2 linked regions of the Schizosaccharomyces pombe genome follow. Changing the gene in region 2 together with the main gene of any one other region gives a genetic interaction. Each region holds a gene or a part of one and is shown on either strand. Other genes may lie near its edges.

The links. A genetic interaction does not mean that the proteins touch.
Region 1: mutations in mcs2 (region 2) and mde6 together harm fitness more than expected from each alone (negative genetic interaction), as found in Schizosaccharomyces pombe (one large-scale study listed by BioGRID).

What each region holds. Positions count from the first base shown.
Region 1 is NC_003424.3:3,694,623-3,698,383, reverse strand, and holds the start of mde6 (muskelin), read right to left. Parts: upstream 1,820-3,761; 5' UTR 877-1,819; coding exon 632-876; exon of another isoform or gene 590-631; coding exon 16-589; exon of another isoform or gene 1-15. Other genes in the region: pun1 (SUR7 family protein), read left to right, coding at 2,356-3,222; ain1 (alpha-actinin), read right to left, coding at 3,493-3,761.
Region 2 is NC_003423.3:1,890,942-1,894,702, reverse strand, and holds mcs2 (transcription factor TFIIH complex cyclin Mcs2), read right to left. Parts: upstream 1,724-3,761; 5' UTR 1,548-1,723; coding exon 1,275-1,547; exon of another isoform or gene 1,189-1,274; coding exon 1,115-1,188; exon of another isoform or gene 1,063-1,114; coding exon 441-1,062; 3' UTR 295-440; downstream 1-294. Other genes in the region: SAGA complex, phosphatidylinositol pseudokinase subunit Tra1, read left to right, coding at 1-270; GDP/GTP exchange factor Spo14, read left to right, coding at 3,047-3,160, 3,308-3,433, 3,480-3,761. UniProt on the Schizosaccharomyces pombe protein: Essential for progression through the cell cycle. Possesses kinase activity that can be detected when myelin basic protein (MBP) is provided as an exogenous substrate.

The sequences.
Region 1 (3,761 bases), on a different chromosome or scaffold from region 2:
AAAAATCTAAGGTACCTTTGGATTGTAAACCATTTGATGACCGCTTCTTCTACTTATTCCTTTCAAAAATGTAGCTATTCTATGCGACCGTAATTTGGTTAATTTATGCTTTGGCCATTTCTCAATAATTTCAGCTTGAAGTTCTTGTTGAAACAGAAGAATGGTTTTTTGAGTGTCTCCTAGTCTGCAAAATGCATCATACATTCTCATTAAGGGTGAATGTGGTATGGAAAGCTGGTAGCTTTGAAGTATCACAGAACATATATCAAGTTTCCCTTTAAAAGCAAAGTAAGAGAGAAGGCAATTGAGTGCCTTTTTTTCTAGATGTAAAGCTCTGTTCTTCTCTGTGCATGATAAAGCGCTGGCTGAGTCAATGCCGTGTAAAGCAACATACCATATACTCATGTTAAATTCATGAGCATGAGCTTGAAGTGGAACAATTTTGATATACTTACAAGCAATTGAATTCTCAATTTTGTTATATTTCTTGATACACAATGGAAATGTTTCTCGATTTGAATCATTTGTCAATCCAGCTCTTAATAAAGGGAACATCAAATGCTGTTCACGCCCCCCATATACTATAAAACTTAAAACTGTTAGAGGAAGAAAAAAAAAATAAACCGCTTACTCTTTAAGGTTGCAAAGATGGGGAGTGTGGAATTTCCCAAAGGTGATATCGGTAACCAACGCAAGTTTATCAAGTTTCAGAATTACATACTGTTCTTCAGAGTTGTTGGGTTTACATATTGAAGTATTACAGCTCCATCGGCTGTTAGCCTGGTGTGGATTATCGATAAGTATATTGATAGGATGAAATGCTCCAGAATAGCTGGACCAGCTTTGAATGGTATAAGACAATTCTTTACGTTCCATTTAAAGAATCAATAATTATCTTCGTCTGACCGCTATGAGTCTAGCAACAATGTATGTGTATTGGAGAAATCAGGAAAGCACCTAATGTAAACAAACAAAAGAGGCAGTAATGATCGCTTCCTTAAGGTGCTTTACAGTCTTGGTAAGGGTCTAAACTTAAAAGGGAAATTTCAGTAAACAATTATAATTCATTTTGTAAAAGTTGAAATTGGATCCAGTATTGAACTTAACTTATTGACGAATATGAAGAAAGTAGTTCTGTTCTGCCATTCGATATTACAAAAGAAACTCCAACAGCTCTTTCGCATTTCTCCAGAAAAAAAAATAACTATTTTGTCATTATCTGAGAATTTCGCTCATTTATTTGGCAAATTAAATGAATTCACAAACTACCCAATCTTGCGATGGACCAAACCACTTTCCAAAATTTCAATTGTAACTAGAGCAACACAACCATATTAAGTATAAATTATTGGTTAATTAAGTATCCTCGTCATGAAAGCATGGTAGAAGATAATATGGGAAATCTATATGATGTTAGTTTAAATATTATATCTGATTCATTGACGACGTAAATTCCTCTTCTCTATTATATAATCACGGATCTTTGAGAGTCATTAAACGATTAAATGTTAATATGATAATCATATGATTTCTTTTTTATACAAAAACTATATAAAGCCCAAATTATTGTGTTCGGTATCATGGAACGAATACTAAGAAAAGCAAAGCGCTTATGTTGATTTTTTTACTTGGCTATCTAATGAACGCTTTCTTTTCATATATAATGGGGCTTGAAACTCAAGCTGCGCCTATATGTCAGTAATGTACGACACAGCATGCGCCGCTGAGTTCGTATATCAGAACTGTTTCTTTTGCTGCGAAAGAACTGTAAAATTGCTGTCACTGCATCCTTTTCACACGTATAATAGTCGAGCTTGTTGCAAACATCGAAAACGTCCCGCGTTTGGTTTATTTACATTGATATGACCCGTCTGTTTACACTTGGTTGTCATGACAACTTCGCTTTCTCAAAACATATTTTACTCGTAGCGGGCCCTCCGTGTCAATTGTGGCATTCCAAATTTACAGAAGATTAAGACTTTAAGAGATTGCGCCTCTGATGCGTATAAAAGGTTAAGAAACAATCAGCTACTTGCCTTTACGATTGAAAAAAAAAACCAGTTCTCTCTCTTTTGTTTACTATCCATACTATCTTGTTTACTCAATATCCTCGCGTTAAATCGTATTAATTTCAAAGAAATTCGTTTTACAACAGCGTTTTTGAAGTGTTTCCCTCTATTTTTCAGCCGATTTTTTGTCCTTCTTCTTCCCAGCTTCTTGAAGAATTGTTTATTTCTGGAGACTACATATCAGTTTTCCTTATTAATCGTGATATCTATTATATATAATCATATATATTATTCTTTCTTTTTGTCATCCCAAGCAAATTGGTTTTTGATATAACTGTTTGTCAAAATGGGAATGGGGTTCAATCCTATTAAAGCTTTGTTCACTGGTATTGGTACCGTTTGCGTTGGAGTTGGCGCGCTTTTGTCAATTCTATGCATCATCAATCAAACTCAGCATAACATTGCTTTTCAAAATATTTACTTTATTCAACTGAATACTACATCTATCTTTTCTGTCGCCAATCAAACTGCTGTTGTCAATAATACAAGCAACCTACTTAACGAGCTTACTGGAACACTGGTAGACACGCTCGAAACATATATTGATCAAGGTGCTACTGATTTAATCGAACAAGTTGAGCAGGAGATGAAGGACGTGTCTGAACTCCCGGACTGGTACTCCATTGGTCTTTGGAATTATTGTCAGGGAAATTCGTCTGATTATACAAATCCTACTTATTGTAGTACTCCTTCTCCTAGTTATTACTTCAACCCCCTTACAATGCTGGAAACCAGTATTAATAATGCAACTGGTAGCCAAATTAACATCACTTTACCTTCCGAGGTGGATTTAGGATTAAAAGTGCTTAAAGGGGCATGTTATGCTATGCGAGCCATGTATATTCTTGGATTTATTTTCTTTGCTCTGACAATAGTTTCAATCGTTATTTCTTGCCTTCCATTTTTTGGTCCCCTCTTTCTCAACGTCTTCTCATTCTTTGCAACTATTTTTACTTTTATCGCTGCAGTTATCGCAGTTGCAACTTATCGTATTGCAATTTCTGAATTGGAAAAAAATATCGAAATTCTTAACATTCCAATCGTTTTAGGAAAGAAAATTTATGCTTATTCATTCCTTTCAGCAGCTGCTGGCTTAGCTGCTTGTATTCTATATTTTATTGGAAATCTTACATCCGGATACAGTCCACTTTAAGTTGTATCGTCCGTTATTTATTGCCCATTATTTGTTAAAAATTAGCATGTTGTTTTATTTTCCCTTCTTTTTGTATTGATGTCAAGTTTCCTTTTTCTTTCATTTTTATGTTAGTTAGCATTGAGATTTGTTTTTCTTCAGATAGTTACTGTATTTAAAAATATACTTTTCTTTGACCCTTGTAACGTATATATATTGTTATTCAAGTATACTAAATTTTCATCCAAATAATGTTCATTAAGTTTATCAAGTGATTCAAAATGCTCCGTTTTAAACTATTTCTTTGTCTTCGGCCAGTAATTGTTTAATCCATGTAAGATAATCCAGTCCTTCTGAATGTTTGTTCATGTTGCATTCTAAAAACTTTACTATATTAGGACGAACCTGACTCCTCAATAGATCATCGGACGTGACATAAGATTTTCCGTCTGCAACATCACAAAACGCATATAAAACTTGACGAGCACTATCACGATCCTCTAATTCTTCCATCACGATTTCTGTAAAACGCTCATAAGTAACACCCTCTTCCGAGTTAG
Region 2 (3,761 bases):
GATTTCGATTTGGATATGTACTTGGGTATCTTTATTAGAGATGATCTTTTTTGGTGGCTTGCACAGCAAACTAAAGGCGTGCCGGCAGATTTCAGTATGCTCAACAAAGTCAATAGCAATACTGATCTTATAATGCGAAGGGTTGCATCATTAAGTCAGGTTGCTTATGGTAACTTACCAGTCAATCAAACAGCTATTGATTATTTGGCGCAAGCCTCTAGTTCCAAAGTTTTGGCACAGATGGACGTCTTATGGGCTCCTTGGCTGTGAGAGAAATGAAAATGTTTTTAATTTTACAAATAGACATTAAAAATAATTAATGAGACACACTTGATAGTGAATTTTACTGGGAATTTTTTATAAACGTAAACTATTTTGTCGTAAAAAAAATTGACGAATAATGACTATTGAAGTAAATTTAGCACTTTTCAAAGAAAGAATCATTCAAACGGATTTTTATCCAACACATTACTGCTGGTTGAGAACTTTTTAGCCCATTTGTTGTTATTAGTTGATTCTTCTTCCGCTTTTCGTTTAAGGTACAAAGCACTAGACTTGTTTCGCAGAGGATTCATGCAGAAATATAGCTTTCTGCCGTAATCTTGTGCCTTTTTTTTCTCAATCTTAAATTTTTTTGTAGCTTTCAAATTGGCAGAAATCGAAATTATCAAAGGTTGCAGTTCTGGAATTTTTTTTGCTTCTATATATTGTAAACAAATAGTTGGATTCGTATGATAAATAGCACCCAAAGCAATTATGCTGGGTGAATGTAAGAAATAGATGTCAGAATGCAATGTCTCAATTAGGAATTTTTTGGAAAGGTCATGACATTCGTAAAACTTTTCGACAGCAACTTTCGGAAGCACTGTTTGACAATCTAAAAGGAAGCCTTGTAAAGGACGAAATGGAAGCCAGACGTAAAGGTCCCATTTTAATGATTGACAAACGTTAAATTCGTATTCAAGAACTTCTTCGGGAGTCGTCTTGGGCATGTTTTTACAGAATTGTTCAATAGAGATATAATGATCGTTGCACTTGGTAGCTAAAAATAAAGAAGTAAACCTAATGTAAGAAAAACAATGTTAGCTTAATGGACTCGGCGACTTAAACATACGAAATAATTTTTGGACTATACTCCATGACAGAGTTAATTAGATAAAAGCGTTTAAAAAAAAGAATGGCCGTGGACTAAAATTTTGTGAGTAAAGTCGGAATGTTTATATTGAGTACAGTTTCCAAGTAATTGAAGGAAATCCGACCATGTCTAAACATACGCGAATATGAGTTGGTAAGGAAAGAGCGGAAGAAAGTGCGTTCAACTGGAAACTATAATAATTTACAAGTTCAAGTTCTTCTTCAACGGTAAGAGTTGGAGGCAAAACTTCTAAGGATGCTTCCTTGTTTTGTAAAGACAACTCTTCCAGCATTCGCTCACGTACAATATTCGTAAATTTTTCATTTACTTTAGCACGTGTTTTTGAAAGGTCTTCTTCCGTAAAAATCCAATCTCTGTAATGCGTGGAATCACGAAATTTATCGGCAGACATGTGAATAATGTAAGTAGAATTTACAGCACTCTATCAATTGAGGGTTATGCAAAAATTTAAATACTTCTCTATAAAGCCAGTAAAATAATAATATTTTTGAAATTTGGATACTTCTCTGCTATGAAAAACCCAAATCGCTCGTTCGCTGAGACTTTGTCGAGGACATCAGATACCCTGGATGTGGAGAAGAGAGTTTTTGCAATTAATGTGCGATGTGCAAAAAGAAAGCAGCACTATAAAGTTATATTAATTTAATGAAGAGTTTATTACATAAACTAAAATTTACTAATAAATAAAATATTGTTGAGTTGAAAAAAGTCTTGCATTCATGTTTCAATCAATTTGTATCAGCATAACATTTCACTGAAACGAAGCTGAAAAAAACAATAGTTATATAGGATTATGCTTTTTTATATTCCATTGAGGCATATCATTTAAAGCCAAAAAATTACCTGACAACGTTCAGTTACATATTTGAGTGAATTGCAAATGAACAAGAATTGGTAGTTAAATAAGGAAATGAAACAACATATTATTAATTAAATTTAATTGGAAGTCAATCTTTGAAATGAAACACGCTTTCTGTGCAAAAAACAGAAGTAATATTATAATCATACACAGGCAGCGGCGTATTAAGATTGTAGGCACCTTGGCACGAGATCGAGCATTCATACCCTTTAGTAGAATAAACACAAACATTAATTTCATGGACAATGTAGTCTCGCGGCAATTTCGTCTTAAAAATAATAATTGGAAATTATAAATAAATCCGAAAATTTCTCATCTCCTCACTCTTTCCCCAGTTCTCTTAATCTATTTTCGTAATATGATGAACATGTAGTAAATATTGCTATATAAACTATATAAACAATACAACGTAAACCTGGTAAAATGTACAGGAGACCGAGATATTAAATAGTGTCTGTAGCAAAGTTGCAACCAAACTGAGGTCGGAATTGAGTTCTAAAAAGCTGAAAAGGAAAATATAAATATAAAATGAGCCAGAATATGCTCCGAGATTTAGAAAGAATCTATTATAAGTTTCTGTTTGTTCAAAGATTCTTCGCAAATAAATATCCACAAGTAAGTATCATCCTTTTTTAAGTCAATAAGGATTTAGGTTATCTCTAATTAAATCTTTTCTCTACTGTCATAAAAAAATGGATAAAAACTTATGTATATATTAAACATCGCCTAAATACGTAAAAGAGGATAGTGATGTCGATATTATTCGATAGATTCTGATACGGGGATCTAATATTCTTACAGTATTTGCTTAAGTCTCGAAGTAGGTTCACAGCGATTTCGAAACATACCCACACCACCGTATTCAAATAGACATTGTTTTTTTTTAGTGGAATTCTTGTAAGTGTACTTTATTGATTTGCTCACTAATAAGTAGAATTTTTTTTTGATTCGTCGCCGATATCGATTTATTTTTTCAATACATTCCTATTCCTCGTATCCAGCTTAAAGTGTTTTCTAATTATTAGATCAAAATGGCTGAACTCCACCTTTCTTTTCCAGCTTATTCTCTTTGTTGGATTAATAACCATCAAATGGCGGTTGGTGGTGGAGGAGGAACTACAAAATCTGGTGTTAAAAACAAATTGGTATGTCAATTCGTGACTGTAAGTGAAGGATTACTTCATTATCTATCTATTTTACAGCATTATAAACTTTTTAGTATCCGGATTGTTAGCTAAAAAGATTATGTTTTACAATTGGACTATAGGCGCTAATTAGTTTGTCGAATTTAGAAGTTATTATCATATGAAGACTATGAACCTGAAGTTGGTGAAGGTCATACAAAATTTATAGAACATGGAGAAATCGAACTTAAGCATTCGGATGATGCCGTTATGTCGTTGGGTTATTTTAAAAATGTATGCAATATTTTTTTATTGCATAGCTAACGAAATTAAATTGTAGGAATTAATAGCCGGTATTAATAACACCATTGACGGAAAGTTAATTGACCATTTACGTTTATATGGAAGAAAGGATAAACTATTTGAGGAAAAGAACGCTCTCAGGTTAACCGATTTTGACAATGATGAACAATATCAAAGGTTATGTTTATTTGAGCCATTACACGATGCAATTTGTATATCTTGCACTAATAAAAGTTTTTTTATCATCTCCAAAAATGATCACAAAGTTTTGTTTGAAAAACATGGTTCAGATGTGTATGACGTTTCATCTACTGAAGAC